Linked DNA regions of Astyanax mexicanus. The protein of the gene in region 1 purifies or fractionates together with the protein of each later gene. This does not show direct contact. Links are inferred from orthologs where the notes say so. Each region holds a gene or a part of one and is shown in the gene's direction. Other genes may lie near its edges.

Evidence for each region.
Region 2: the proteins of wdr44 (region 1) and vapb purify together in Homo sapiens (affinity purification with mass spectrometry; 4 studies listed by BioGRID and IntAct, counting the BioPlex papers as one, with this or other methods). This does not show direct contact. The link is inferred for Astyanax mexicanus from reciprocal best matches to the Homo sapiens genes WDR44 and VAPB.

The regions. Positions count from the first base shown.
Region 1 is NC_064408.1:31,687,781-31,695,734, reverse strand, and holds the start of wdr44 (WD repeat-containing protein 44), read left to right. Parts: upstream 1-4,918; 5' UTR 4,919-5,087; intron 5,088-5,318; 5' UTR 5,319-5,355; coding exon 5,356-5,432; intron 5,433-7,954. UniProt on the Homo sapiens protein: Downstream effector for Rab11 which regulates Rab11 intracellular membrane trafficking functions such as endocytic recycling, intracellular ciliogenesis and protein export.
Region 2 is NC_064412.1:55,095,044-55,102,670, reverse strand, and holds the start of vapb (vesicle-associated membrane protein-associated protein B/C), read left to right. Parts: upstream 1-4,532; 5' UTR 4,533-4,813; coding exon 4,814-4,871; intron 4,872-7,627. UniProt on the Homo sapiens protein: Endoplasmic reticulum (ER)-anchored protein that mediates the formation of contact sites between the ER and endosomes via interaction with FFAT motif-containing proteins such as STARD3 or WDR44.

The DNA.
Region 1 (7,954 bases):
AAAGACAACAAAATTTGAATTAATCAAAGTTTGAGAATGATATAATTATTATGCACTTACTGCAGTTCACACTGTGTGTATGGAGTCACATTTATTAAAGAAATGGTGTTTTTTTATGCAAGATGGGCTAAAATACTGTTCACTGTTATCTATGTGAACAAACATACAAATAAACACAATATACAATATCACAATTATGAAATATCCTTGAGGTCATGTTCATTTATTGTACAATAAATCAATAATGTTATTATTGTGACAGAAATAGTACTGGAATATGTTTTGCTGGGAGAGTGCAGAGTGTATCACCAATAACACCAGTAACCGTACCATTTCTATAGCCCCTATATAGGAACAGATGAGTAAAACATTGTCCTCTTGTAAAACCAGTCCCTTTGTATTTGATGGCAGTGGTCAAAATCCTGAATTGTTCCAAGAGCCCTTCACGCTTCAAATACAGCTTAGCTTGACCCACCATCATTCAAGATGCATAGTCACTGGCTTGTATTTGGCAGCCTCTAAACTTATATTTTAGATTCTAAACTATACAAACTAGCTAAGGAGATTGTAGTAAAAGAGTAGAACACCTTTCTGAGTCACTTAAGATAAGAACATCTGCTAAATGCCTAAATAATGCCATAAATCTAATTCCTGCACTCACTGACTAAAATACATGGGTGTTTATGTAGAAAAAAGGGGCACAAATACAGAAACACACCCTTCTATTGGATCAGCTTAGCAGTGGCAGAAAGCCTAAAAAAGCAGGCTTGGAACCAGAAGGTCATTGGTTCAATCCCCACTACCGGTGGTGGGAGTGAAAGAACTTTTCTCTCCATTCCCGTAACATTCAGGACTGCAGCACTCTTATACAAGGAACCAAGACCGCATTTGCTCCCCAGGCACTGAGGCAGCTGCCCACTGCCCTGGGTGTGTTCTCATTGCTCTACTTACTCGAGTGTCTTCTCTGCCACTGATAGATTAACTCTGTTGTGTTTCATAGTCAATTTTCTTGTTTAAATCAACCAGAACATTAAGTTAAAATCAGCTACACAATGTTAAAGTGTACATGTAATATGCATTACATTGCTAATGTTATTTCTAAACAAACTTGAACAATATTGCACTTTCTAACATTGGCCAAAAAAAAATATATATATATATATATAAGTATAATAATATAAGTATAGGCACTGTTCACTATCAACCTTACAACCAATCATAAGTGTACGTTACCAGGACTTAAAAACACATTGTCATGCATTACTTCAGACCAATTTTAGGCTTTTGAGGGGAAGAGCATATGAACACTAGGTCTGTGGCTCACAGCCACTATAAAAAACACCCACCAAGTGTTTACAAACGTACATAATTTTTTTTTTGTATAAAAACAAAAACATTCTTGATCAAAACTCAAGAACCACACGCACAACATCAACCAGTAATTCAACATTCTACAATAGTGACGAGCGTTCTGATTTGTCTGTGAACACATTTTTCTCATTTATTGTCTCAATACACCACCGCAACAAGCTTATACTGATAATATAAACACTACTGCCTTTATTCCAGGTCTTTGAGGTCTTTGGACTAGCTTTTTCTGTTTTTTCCTTGGTCTCCGCTAAAGCTCAGGGGTTATCCAGGCTTTGCAGTTGCAGCACCAAGACATTGGAATAGCCTACCACTTTTCTCTTGGATTGTAATTGTACAGCACTTTGGTCTTAAATGTGATTTATATATAAATTTTACTTGGTTACCTTCTTAAAAATCTAATTTTAAAGAGTAAAACCATTTCACCACCCATTGCAGTAATTCACTCGCTGCTGGAGAAGCAGTAAAACTGACCATGATATGCCATAACAAGTATTCATTGGCTCTACATTCATAACAAGCACAAACAACAGGTGTTCTGAGCCAAATGTCTCTACTGGAGATGTGCATCCGGATGGGACTAAAATTACCGGAGGACTATGGAGTTCAGTAGGTAATTCAGCCTGTACATTTTTTAGAGGACATCTGAGAAAAACACATACATGGTTGTTTCGGATGGGAATAAAATCTTAGAGGACCCTCATATAAGAAAACTTTAACTCAGGACCCCCTGACTAATACTGTCCGGATAGGGCTTAACTGTTTTTTACTCTGACAAGAGAACATTTCAAGAACAGTTACTAGCTTAATACTATGGGGAGATTACTGTTTTGTAGAACTCAGGATCTGCAAGCTAGTTAGCTAACTAATTTACTAACTACATGACCTGCTCAACCCTATATCATAGCAGTAGAGACACAGGCGGTCACTGCAGGCCAGGGGATGAGCAACAACCCAGCAAATAGGCAGGCCATGATGATGAGTCAATAAAGATGTCAGCATAGTGCTCTTGATAGCTTAGATGGGTCAAGCCATCAGCTATCAGTTTGCCACAGCTCTTCTTCTTTCCTCTATCGAAATATCTGACCTCTTTTATGTTAGTGACAATAAACTGACGGGTATGGGTCAGCCAAATACCTGCTGTATCTGTATCCCTGCACACTGGATGACTCATACAGCTTCACTAGCGAGTTAGCTTAGCTAGTTATAAACAGCAAAAAGTAAACAAGGATAAGAAGCTATGGAGAACTAACGCTAGCTATGTTAACCTAGCTAAGCTAGCTATCTAGTTAGCTACTAACATTAGAATGTCTGGCCAACGTTCACTTATCACCACTTCAGCTAGTTAACTAGCTAGCTAACTAGAGCATTTGCGCTCACTAATGAGATTGTTAAAGATAAAATAGCTAGTCTAATCCACTTTCACAAAGGCTGACTTCCCCAGCTAACCTGGTTCACTTTTAATAACGAATATAAAATACTTAGGACAGAGCTGCAGCGTTCAACACAGTACTGAAACGCTGTTTTAAACGTCGTTTTAAAGGTTTATATTATCACACAGACTGTGTTTAACTCTCTCGTCTGTTTGCAGAGACATGTCTGCTCATGTTTATTCGGAACTTCTCAAAGTTAGCAGGCTAGCTTTAGCAGGGCGACCCAACACAAGACCAGGCGAGGAGGCGAGTCGCTGTGGAGACGAACTGCAGCACTTGCAGCCCGCTGTAAACGCTCTGTTTAATTCCCAAACCACAGCAGCAATGGCACAAAACGACACCAACTTTACCAACCGAAATGATTTGAAGAAAAGGACAAAAACGATAAGCATGGCTGCGTTTGCCTGCCTTTAGCCACACAGCGGCTTTAGCTCCGTCTACTTTCCTGACCGCTCTGACCACACATATGACAGCAAGCGCTCCGCTAAGCGTCCGCCTCACTTCACGCCACACAAATCAACTTTTAAACAGAGAATTGTTTACCTCTAGTGTCGGGATTTCGCCCTTCTCGCCGAATTCTTAAACCCTCAAATCCACTCCACTCCTGAACCGCGCCGGGTCCCGCCCCCTGACGTGTTTTTCATTGGCGGGAGCCGCAAAGGAGGTGCGCTGCGCACGCCGACGATTGGCCAGCGCGGCTGTCAGTCAAAGGCAGACGCTCAAAACTTCCGTTGCCAAAAGAAGTTCGTTGCGCAGCTGCGATGAGACTCCGTGATTGGTTGATTCAACAAGCGCCAAGTAGTAACACACACGCATACGCACACTACTAATGATAAAAACGCATAATATTAACACTCATTTAAATATGAAAACAACACACAGCACTGATACAGCACTGTACTGATGAATAACATAACATAAAACGCAGGTATAAAATATTAGGTATACAACGAATGACAATACATAATTAATAAAACATGAATACTAGGTAATTAATTATAATGGACAATACATGTAACGTTACTGATGCATTAGACTATCGGTGTTTTATATAACACATAAAAACACTAACCGCAATGTAACGCATAATGCATGTACATCCACCAAACTCTGATAAATACACAAATTATTAATGTGTTACACTTTTATCACAGTTCACCCTTTTTCTATTGTTTTCACTATTAACTTATCTGCAATATAACTATTTACTGCTTACCACAACTACTTTGTTGTGTTTTATCTAGCTGCAGTAGCACAATATACAGAAATAGCAGACAGTCAAGACTGAGGAAAATTGGAAAACACACACCCACACACATACACCTACAGAACACTACACATGTAACTAAAAAAAAAACCCACTGATAATCGGACTTTTTTAACAGCAATGTGTGCACTTTCTACGCATTTATTTATTCTTCAGTTCAGTTCAAGCTACTCAGATCCTGTGCAATAATCTGTACTGTATATATTTTCATTCATCAACTGACTCTTAAATTTGTGTATTTGTGTATAATTGTTTTACATAGTTCATGTTATTTATTGCATGTCTTAAACACCTAAGGATTCCTGCATAATTTTATTGTACATCGTGCAATTACATTTAAAAGGGCATTTAATCTTTAAATGTTTAAAATGTTTAAAAAAATATTGAATTTAATAAAAACTGCAAAAACAGAAATATATAATGTCCCACACAGGAAAAGTATCTTGAATCAACATCCATTTTTCTATCGCTAATACATTAAAACAACGTTGACCAGAATTTATTTATTTGTAAATATTGACATTATTGTTTTATATTTTCTGTTTCTATTAATATAAATAATATATTAATGTATTTATATATACATTAATATATTAACATGTAAATTATTTTTATAAATTCTGTCTGTCTGTCTCTCCGTCGGTCGGTCTTTCTGTCTGTCTATCAATCTATCTGTGTTTACAACTCTATAGCGGTCCTTATATCTCATGACTGATTCAGGATTAGCTCATTGGTTTCACATCCTTGTCTTTTCAATAAAAGCTCCAATCACTAAACTGATACCAGATCAGCTGTCAATGCGTTATGGAAGGCACACAGAATCTCGCGGGAGTTCAGTGCGAGACTTGTCCAGTCGTGAGAAAAATCAGTTGACGCTCCTCTTCCTTCTCCTCCTCCTGCTGCTTTAGGCTCCGTGTTTTTGGGCCATAAATCCTGCGAGGGTCGCGCTAAGACCCCCGGTAGCTGCTGCTCGTACCGGAGAAGTGTTCCTGTGGAGCCCGATAAAGCTTTACAGCGAGGTATTGTGAAATTCCGCGCTGCTGTCACACAGTCGGGCTGCTCTGCAGTTGGTGTTTGGTCTGTTAGCTTGGGGCTAACCGTTCGCTAGCTGAGTCTGGAGCGCTCCAGAAAACTGAGGACGCGTCCCAACTTGTCATTAGTGTGAACGGGGCGTCTGTGCTTAAATCCACTTCACAGTCAGTCTGCTTTCACTTTATATTAAGAGACTTCTTTATATTATTCCATCCTAGGCCTTTGCATGTAGCCGTCTGGCTAAGTCAACACTAAATGGCGTCGGATACGAGTGACACAGAGGAGTTTTACGATGCTCCAGAAGATGTCAACTTCACTCCTTCACCGAAAGTGTGAGTACTCTATTCACTCTTACAATGTTCACACACATTCCAGCATTCATACTGATGAACTGGGGCGGAGTGGCCTCTCCGTTCTGTGCTGTGCAGCTAGCTTAGCTATCTAGTTATCCTAGCTGACTGTCATTACAGCTGTAACAATACACGATTTTAAAATTCTGTTTAATTTTCGAGGTGGCAAAAATGCTGGTGCTTATATAATTCTCACAATTAGCTAATATAATTAGTTAAATTCTGCCTTTTTAATCTCTAGGTTAGCTAACCAATGTTTTTTTTGTGCTTTATGTTTTTTGTTGGCATGAGTGGGGCTTTTGTATAGCTAGATTTGTGGCACATTCAACTGTCAAGAGTATGTAGCTTATAAAAAGTTTAAAGGAGAACTCTGGTTTAAACTAGACTTGGGACATAGTTAAACATGATAATGATCACAAACTTTTGTCTAATAGCCCACCTCTATTCACCTTCAATATTCTAAAATCCAGCATTCTGATTTCTGATGATGCTCTCAAGAGACCTAAAAACTTAACTTTAAAACCCATGCAAAGAAATATTTATTTCAACACTTTTGACAAGCTCAAAGTAGCTTCACACTTCGCTGGAAGAATTCCAAGGCCCCTGACATTGAACACGAGGCACTGAGAACTTTGAAAGTGCAGAGGTAGTTTATTAAAAAAACACTGTTTATACACACAGTACATCTTGAAATTAAGTGACGAGAAGTCGACTAAGGAGCACAAATTAATTGGTTGGGTAGGGGAACAGATTGCATAATGAATGCATAAATTCCAGCTGTTGTTTAAAATATTTATGCAGTTCCATGGAATTGCATGGACAAGGCTATGCCCCTATCACGTGCATTGTAAGCCTGTTGGGAGCATCAGCTAAAAGCACAGTAATTAGGAATGCTGGGGGTGAATGGAGCTGGGCTGTTCAACAAAGGTTTTTACTCCTTGTTATGTTTCACTACACCCCACAACCATTTCACACAGGATTTCTCCTTTAAGGCTTTAAAAGAATGCTTTGTTTACTATAGGGCTTACTGTGCTCTCACAAATGACATAATATACAAAGGAATCAGTCTGCATTTGCTTCGAGACAAAGTATTAATATTTTCAAAAGAGCTAAACTGGAAATGTTTTTGCGCTGGTAAGACATAAATCAAATCTGGCATTTTCCTCATATGACCCAGGACCAATTTTGGACTGGTTTGTTTTCAAACACATTTTTTCAGACACTGGATTGACACTGCAATTCCATTTGCTATTTTTTAGTGGAGAGAACACAATAAGTTGAAGCTGTTATGTGACAAAATGAACCACATGTGGACCCATGCACAGTTAGCTCGAACCCAAGTTGTCTTAAAGTAAACTTCAGACCACAGATTTTAGGATGACCTGGGGTCAGTACACTTGACCACTCTGGACCGCTCCCGGGCTTAAAAGTAGCTTTCACGCTTGACTAAACGTACCAGACCCAGGTGTGGGCAAAAAAAAATGGTTGCGTGTTTTGAGTATTATGTTTTAAATTGGATTTAAACTTGCAATCTCATAATATATATTAAAACAGACCTGTCATCCTGAAGTTGGTGACGTCAATATGCACTGGCCTGGGGGTGTGGTGGTGGTGGTTAAGATACAGATGTGACACAACATGTAGCACACTTTCCATACGCTGCTGTTAAGACCTGTGAGCTTAAAGCATTGAAAAAAACTTTTGCTTTCTACCCCATTAATGGCTGACCAGAGACCCAGATGTTTAGTTTGGGTGGGCCCTCTATATGTCCAAATGTTTGTGGACACGATTGCTAGTAATTAAATGATTCAGCTACTTTCATTAAGCTGGAAAGATTGTGTTCCATCCAATGTTTTTGGGATAAGGTGGGGCATTGGAGATGGGACGGGCTGGTTATCATGCAACATCCTCTCCTCAATAATGCTGTTGTCTCTAAATGCAGTCTTTCCTTACAGCAGTGCTGTAACATCTAGTAGAAAGCTTTCCTTCAACATTAGATCAGATCTTTTTAATACCCCTGAATTTGGAAAAACCAATAAATGAGCAGGTGTGACAGTACATTTGTCCATATAAATAAATGTTAAATTTCCCCTGTAATGCTCATCCAGGTGTTAAGTCCCAGTGTTTACGTTTTCTATGTTTGTTTATCAGCAGTACATTTCGTGTACACGGAATTTTCCAAAATTCAGCCCAGATTTACAATAGCACTGTTTTAATCATAAACACAAACATCTAGATCTGCAGTTCTCACTGAAACATTGCAGGCAGTTAACGTTACTGTCTTGACAATGGCCATGTAGTGCGTGAGTCATAAGCTCATGTGAACTATTACCAGATAAATACTGAAGGCCTGTTCTCTCTGCTCACTCCTCTCTCTCTCTCCCTCACTCTCACTTATGCTTTACCAATTTTTTTGGTTAAACATACCAAGACTGATTTGCTTTCCACTGAATTTCATCATCCTAAGTAGAAAGTTGACCTCTAACAGAGTTTTGTTTTCACCA
Region 2 (7,627 bases), on another chromosome or scaffold:
GCATGACTTTTCCGATAATCACCGCTTTGAATCCCGGGCAATGCTGGTAGCCATCAGCAGCCGGAGTCCGAGAGGGCACAATTGGTCATGCTCTCTCTGGGTCCCAATGTAATGTTGGTCAGCACAGGAGTTTCCTCTTCAAGTGTGTTGGCTACCCAGTGACTCAGTTAAAAAAAAAAAAGAGAAGAGTGCCCCTAGTGTTGGAGCATTACTAGTAATGGGAAGTTCTAGTGAGTGTGGGGCAAATTGGTGTTTAAAGTTGAACTAAGTTTGTTTCTTTTCTTTTTTTGCCAACAAACTCATCATTTCCACTTTCTGCTTTATGTGCTTTGACTTTAAATGAATACAATGACTTTATTATTAACTTAACTGTGATTAGAAGTTAAGAATTGGATGGTTTAAGCTGATCTTTGATGGTCATTTAGGGGGAAACATACCCTATACTGGCGAGCTAGCTGCTTAACCAGCTCCTTACGAGCGGATCGAGTATGTTACACTTGATTTTGGCCATGCTCGTTGACCAGATCATGTGTGTAAACTATCTAAACTATCTAAGCTAAACTATCAAACTTGAGCTAAACTCAAACAAAAACATACTCTATGTTGGTTTTCAGCATGGATTAAACTCCAAAATGTAAAAGTATGGATGGTTAATAACATATCAGGATAGAAACTATAATATAATACACCCTTAAACCCAATATTTGTATTGTGGCATTATGTACAGTATGTGCCTTGGATGGTCTTGCGCTCCCCTCTTTATTAATATGAATGTTAAGCCTACACGTGGCTGTCTTGAAGCCACACTTTACAGTGACTTGCAAAAGTATTCAAACCCCTTGAACTTTTCCTTTTTGAACATTTTGCCCCCTTACAACCACAAACTTAAATGGATTTTATTGAGATTTTATTTGAAACGAAAATGATACACGGTTTTCATGATTTTTATCAAATTAAAAATCTGAAAAGTGACGTGCAAAAGTATTCAGCCCCCATATATCACTTAGTCTTCTTAATGGAGCCACTATTCGCTGCAGTTACAGCTATAAGTGCTTTGAGGTTTGTCTCTTCCAGCTTTGCATTTCTTCTTTATAAAACAGCTTAAGCTCAGCCAAGAATTTTAAAAAACATGTATCATTTTCGTTACACTTCACACTTATGGAATACTTTTTGTCTATCACTTAAAATCTCAATTAAAAAAAATACATTTGAGTTTGTGATTGTAAGATGACAAAATGTGGAAAAGTTCAAGGGGTATGAATACTTTTGCAAGCCACTGTATTCGTGCATCTAGATGGAGCTGTTGGCTCTGTGCACTGAATGTGTGAGAACTATTGGGCATTGTTCTTGTGGCAGAGCAGAGCTGTTTGGCCATTATCCCCTACAGTGATTAGTCAGGACCCGAGACTGAAGACCCAAATCAAATTACGTTATATTTAGTGAAATATATAAATACTACACCTTTCAGAAACTCGTAAAGTGGAATTTGAAGGATTGGAAGATTTAGGATTGTTCATTGTAATGAGAAACTTAACCTAATGAATTTATCTATTTGTATTTTGGTATTTGCAGATTTTATCTCCAAAGTAATCATTTATTCAGGGAAAGTGCTTTACTAAATGAAGATTGTATGGTACTTTTTGTGGTATGTGGTTATTATCCATTTATCCATTTAGCTTGGTTAGAATAAGAACACCATTCATTGTGATGTACAGTATATAAATATAACCACGGTTGTATAGGAGTAGCTTTATACGTATTTTTTTCTTTTTTATATTAATCTCACTCGATGTGTAACTGTCCAGATGTACTACCAGAAGCCTTGCACACAGCTCAGAATCACTTTGTTTTTGTTTTTTTTTACATTTTATATGTATTTTTTTCATTTTTCTTATCTCGTGCCATGTAAAAGCTTCTTAAAGTGTCTTTATAAAAGCAAAGTAAAAAAAGTTTCCATTTTATGTTAGGATGTGTTTATATGTGTATGTTACATTTAATTTGTTGTGGTATTAGCCTACGTTACAGAGCTTTACTCCTCAGCTGGAGCACACGTTCACATATTCACACATTCAGCGGAAGTTCTGTGGGTTTCAGTGGAATAGCATGTTACATTTAGAGTGGGAAGTTTGATTCTTCACTTCCCTTCAGCAGTCTAGAATGAATTAATTTCATGTTACTGAAAATGCCAACAGTCTTGGGCTGGTCCTGAGAATGTGTTGTGAAGTTCTGATGTATTTGGGTTTTTTTTTTGTGTATTGTTACCATGGGGGCATGTTAAATGAATGAATTTGGTCATCTTCAATGGTGTTCACACACAATGTAGTTTACATATATTTACCTTGTATTGCAATATTTACACAACGCACTAATTTAACCCATTGCATTTTAATCAGTTACTGTATAGTTAAAGAGGTTTATTTTTTTTCTTTCTTCGCTTGATTGCAAACAACATTGCTTGTAATAAAGGGATGTTCTGAGCTGTTTAATAGTAATAAAATGGCACAGAAACAGAAACTGCTCCGTGTGAGTTTTGTTTGTGCTATAAAGGAGAGCACACCTTAAAAGTTTACACACTGAGCTCAGTATAAAAAGTGTTCTAACTGGTGTGAAAAGGTGTTTGTACCCCTTTTTTTAATTTAATTTATAAATTTTTGCACGTTTTGGGTCATCAAACTAATCTAAATATTAGTCAAAAACCCTATCCGGACGGGATTCGTTTCTTAGAGGGTCCTGGGGTAATTTTCTCCCTTATGGGGGTACACTGTGATTTTAATCCCGTCCAGAACGACCATGTATGTGTTTTTCTCAGGTGTCCTCTGAAAAAAATTACCTGGTCCTCCAGTAATTTTAGTCCTGTCCAGACTCATATCTCTGAGTTTCGTCTCCTTGCGTTTAATAAAATAGCTACTAATAAAATAGCTAATAACAGGAGGCCACAAAAACATATCTTCCCACAAGTCAGTGCAATATTTCTTAGCTTCAATGGGACATGGCAAAAGTCATGGGATATGATACTAGTTTCTGTGTAATGACACGTGGCATGTTAGTGTATTAATCACTTCATTACACAAACAAGGTTTTGATACAGCTATTAGGTGTAAAATTACAGCTCAATTTATTCATGCACAATTTGTATTTGTATATTTGGACGGTCATTAATCTAACCTCTCATCAAGGGCCACTTTCTGACCACTGGACACTATTGGCTGGGTATTTCTGGTTTGCCAACTATTCTTAACCCAGCAGTGACACTGAGGTGCTTAGCACTCTAGCAATGCTGGTGACACTAATACACTCAAACACAGCCTACAATATACTGCTATCCTGATGTTAATACACTGCATGAACAAAAGTGTTGGCCCACCTGATCATTCATTGTTTCTTTCAATAGAATCGCTATGATGATTTGATTGCATTCAGCAGAAAGAACATTAGTGAGATCAGGATATTGGATGATCACCACCTCATCTGTAACTTCCAGCCAAGTTCCATTGATGCAACTCCATCAATCCAGAGAACACAGATCCACTGCTCCACAGCTTAATGTAGAGGAGCTTTATATCCCTCTACGCCAGGCATGGCATTAGGCATGGTGCCAATACATGTATGTTTATCTGCTGCTGAGAATCCCCTTCAAATAAGCAATACTTCTTTATAGAGACTGGACAATCTGTTTTAGAAATGGTTGCAAATGGTGCAAAATTAATGCAACACTGGATTGAATTAAATCTTGTGACATCGCAGAAGCTACCACAGCGTATGCATGTCACAATCAAACCTAAAGGCGGTCCAACAACAATGACAAAAAAGGTTACACACACCTATATTTCGTTGGACAGCCTTTAGCTTTGATTGCGGCATGCATTCGCTTTTGCGTCGTATCGATAATCTCTCTTCTGCAATGTCACAAGATTATTTTCAATACAGTGTTGCATTAATTTATCACCAAGATCTTGCAGCAGCATTGATGATGCAGTTTGGCATTGTCATCTTGGAATATTGCCGTGTGTATCATCAGGGAAGAAAAAATCTTCCATTGATGGAATAACCTGGTCTGGAATATTCAGCATATATTCAGGTAGCAGTCAGCTGACATCATTCTTTCAGCACAAACTGTTGCTGAACCCAGACCTGCAGACCAACTGCAGCAGCATCAACCATCAACCCCACATCATTTACTTACATAAATCCAGGTGGTGACTTATTTACTTATAATTTTTTTGACCAGGCAGTGTAGTTGACTTGACTTGACTTTTTGTATTGATCCTAATGTAATGTAATGCAATGTGATGTATTGCCTCGTGCACACTCTTAAGTGGCAAAAACATTCTGATAACCTGATGCCTGGGCCCTGTAACAGTGTCAGATTAATGACGGACACCCTTGTACACAGGGGTTTAAATGTCTGAGGCTAAGATAAGATATCCCATATAGGTTACCACCACCATTCCCCACTCTGGCATCACATCAGCCGCTGAGTGGCTGCTGGTGCAGGCGGCGTGACGTCACTCCCAGCCAGCCTCGCTCTCTCCCTCTCTCTCTCTCCCTCAGCCCGCTTTCCTGCTGCATCACAACATAGGGTAGCTAACCTAGCAGCAGCGCCCTGAACTCACTGTTTTTCAGCAGGACAGCTAGTTTTATTCAACCGGACGTGGCTTAAAAATATCGTCGGTTTCTGTAGTTATAAACCCGGCTAGCGTTAGCGAGTTATTAGCGCTGTGTGCGCAGGCAGCGAGTGAATAGTAGAGAGTCTGCGAGGGCTGCTGGTTCGTGTGTGTGTGTCTTTCAGTAGCGCCGTCCGAATCGCTGGGATATGGCCAGGCCGGAGCAGGTCCTGCTTCTGGAACCTCAACACGAGCTCAAATTCCGGGGTAAGACGCCCGCCCGGGCTGGGTGGGGGGCTGTGCAGGCGCGGGGCAGCACGCAGGGCTTCGTGTGTTTTGAAGGGGGCGAGGTAGGGTGGGTATTTTTGGGTGGGAGGGGGGTACTGCGAGATGGCGTTCATGATAGGCCTCGGTCCTGTAACGGTACAAGCTAGCTAGATAGCTAGCCGGCTAGGTTAGCTTAGTGGATGGCGAGCTGTGTTGTTTAGCTAACTTAGCTAATAGCTAACGTTAGGTTAGCTTGCTTGCTAGGTTGACATCCAGCGCCCCAACGCCCTTCACTTCACTTCAGTTCAGTAACGTTACAGTAACAGGAGAATGAGGAATAGACAGCTTGCTGTGGAGAGCTTAACCTGCAGCAGCTAACGTTATCTCAGCTAACCTAATGCTAATAAATTGTTAAGTTAGTTAGCTAACGTTAGCTTGTATAGGTTAGCTATAGCTGTAGTTGTGTGTGTAACAGTTGAGTTATATATTTATTTATAATGGAGCAGGTTTGACTAGACAGCTGGTGTTACTATCTTAGATAGTTTTAACTAACCCTGGCAAACTAGGCCTCTCCATCCACTCAAACGTATGAACTCAGTCAGTTTAGTCTTTCAGTAATAAAACTGAATAAAATAATCCATACCTGCCTATGTTAGCTAGCTAGCTAGCTAGGCTTTCAGGGCCTGTGCCTGGTTGCATTAGCTAATTTAGTTGTTTCCATTAAGAATGCCCTTAACAATTCCTTAAAGGTAAGTGTGTTGCAAAAAAAATGCCTTAAGCTAAGCGTTATCTAAGTATTTTCTTTAGGGAAACCCTTAAATGTTCCCTTAAATATTGATGCTTAATAATTCATGTAATCTTACATAAACTCTCTTAATGCTCTATTCTCTGAAAAGTTGTTTAATGGACCCCAAACCTCACCTAGGCTTGTCACAATAAGATTTTATTGATTAATATCAAACATCAGTAAGGAGAATGAGGGATAGACCGGCTAGTTATGTTAACCTAGCTAGCTAATCTAGATTGTTGGATATGTAACCAACTGGTTTATATATGTTAGCTAGCTATAGTTGTGTGTATTTACGAGGCTGAAGTTGGTTTGATATTCGCAGCTCCAGATTCGTTTGGCTCGATATTCGCAGCCTCGTATTCCCCGGCTGAAGTTGGTTTGATATTCGCAGCTGCAGCTTCACTGAACCACCGTGAACTAAAGGGAGCGTTCACAAACACCCGCTGTTTATATTAAACACCTCACAGATCAACACTGAAGGAGATAGAATGAAGAAAAGCAGTACAGCTGTTTATTAACAATGTAAATATACAATATCTTATTAAATGTAATTTTATATACACGACCTTCCATCACTTATTTTCTCCAGTTTTACTTACAACATGAATTTGCTGTTCTAGTGTAATTCATTCATTTCCTGAGTCAAAAATATCTGAAATAGAGATTTAGCCTCCTACTTTCAAGAAAACCTGGCATTATCCTGTCCGGAGCCAATTGTATATTGTAAAATATTTAATTACTGAATTTATAATTATATATTATAATAAATAATAAAAATATATATTTAATGAAATTATATTTTAAAAGCCATTGCTCTCAAAAAATATAAGGCAGATGTTCAAGTGTGATTTTGAAGAACTTTTTCATGTTGGGCCAGAACAAATACACATGATCTGAAGAGTTCTATTCTTCTAATTTAAGGAAAACCTGGAATTAGCCTGGCCCGAGCTGATTTTATACTTTAAAATGAACTGGCAACATGGAATACCGATCCATAATGCACAAAAAAATTGAATATAAAGCTGATGTTCCAGTGTGATTTTGAAAGACTTTTTTAATCTTGGGCCAGACCAAATACACATCATCTGAAGAGTACTAGTCTTCTACTTTAAGGAAAACCTGGAATTAGCCTGGCCCGAGCTGATTTTATACTTTAAAATGAACTGGCAACATGGAATACCGATCCATAATGCACAAAAAAATTGAATATAAAGCTGATGTTCTAGTGTGATTTTGAAGGACTTTTTAATCTTGGGCCAGACCAAATACACATGATCTAAAGAGTACTAGTCTTCTACTTTAAGGAAAACCTGGAATTAGCCTGGCCCGAGCAGATTTTATACTTTAAAATGAACTGGCAACATGGTATAACGAGCCATTTTGCACAAAAAAGCCACTGTTCCAGTACAATTTTGAAGAACTTTTTCATCTTGGGCCAGAACAAATACACATCATCTGAAGAGTACTGGTCTTCTACTTTAAGGAAAACCTGGAATTAGCCTGGCCCGAGCTGATTTTATACTTTAAAATGAACTGGAAACATGGAATACCGATCCATAAAGCACAATTTTTTTTATGTAAAGCTGATGTTCCAGTGTGATTTTGAAGGACTTTTTCATCTTGGGCCAGAACAAATACACAAGATCTGAAGAGTACTAGTCTTCTACTTTAAGGAAAACCTGGAATTAGCCTGGCCCGAGCTGATTTTATACTTTAAAATGAACTGGCAACATGGAATACCGATCCATAATGCACAAAAAAAACTTAATATAAAGCTGATGTTCCAGTGTGATTTTGAAAGAATTTTTAATCTTGGGCCAGAACAAATACACATCATCTGAAGAGTACTAGTCTTCTACTTTAAGGAAAACCTGGAATTAGCCTGGCCCGAGCTGATTTTATACTTTAAAATGAAACTGGCAACATGGAATAACGATCCATAATGCACAAAAAAATTGAATATAAA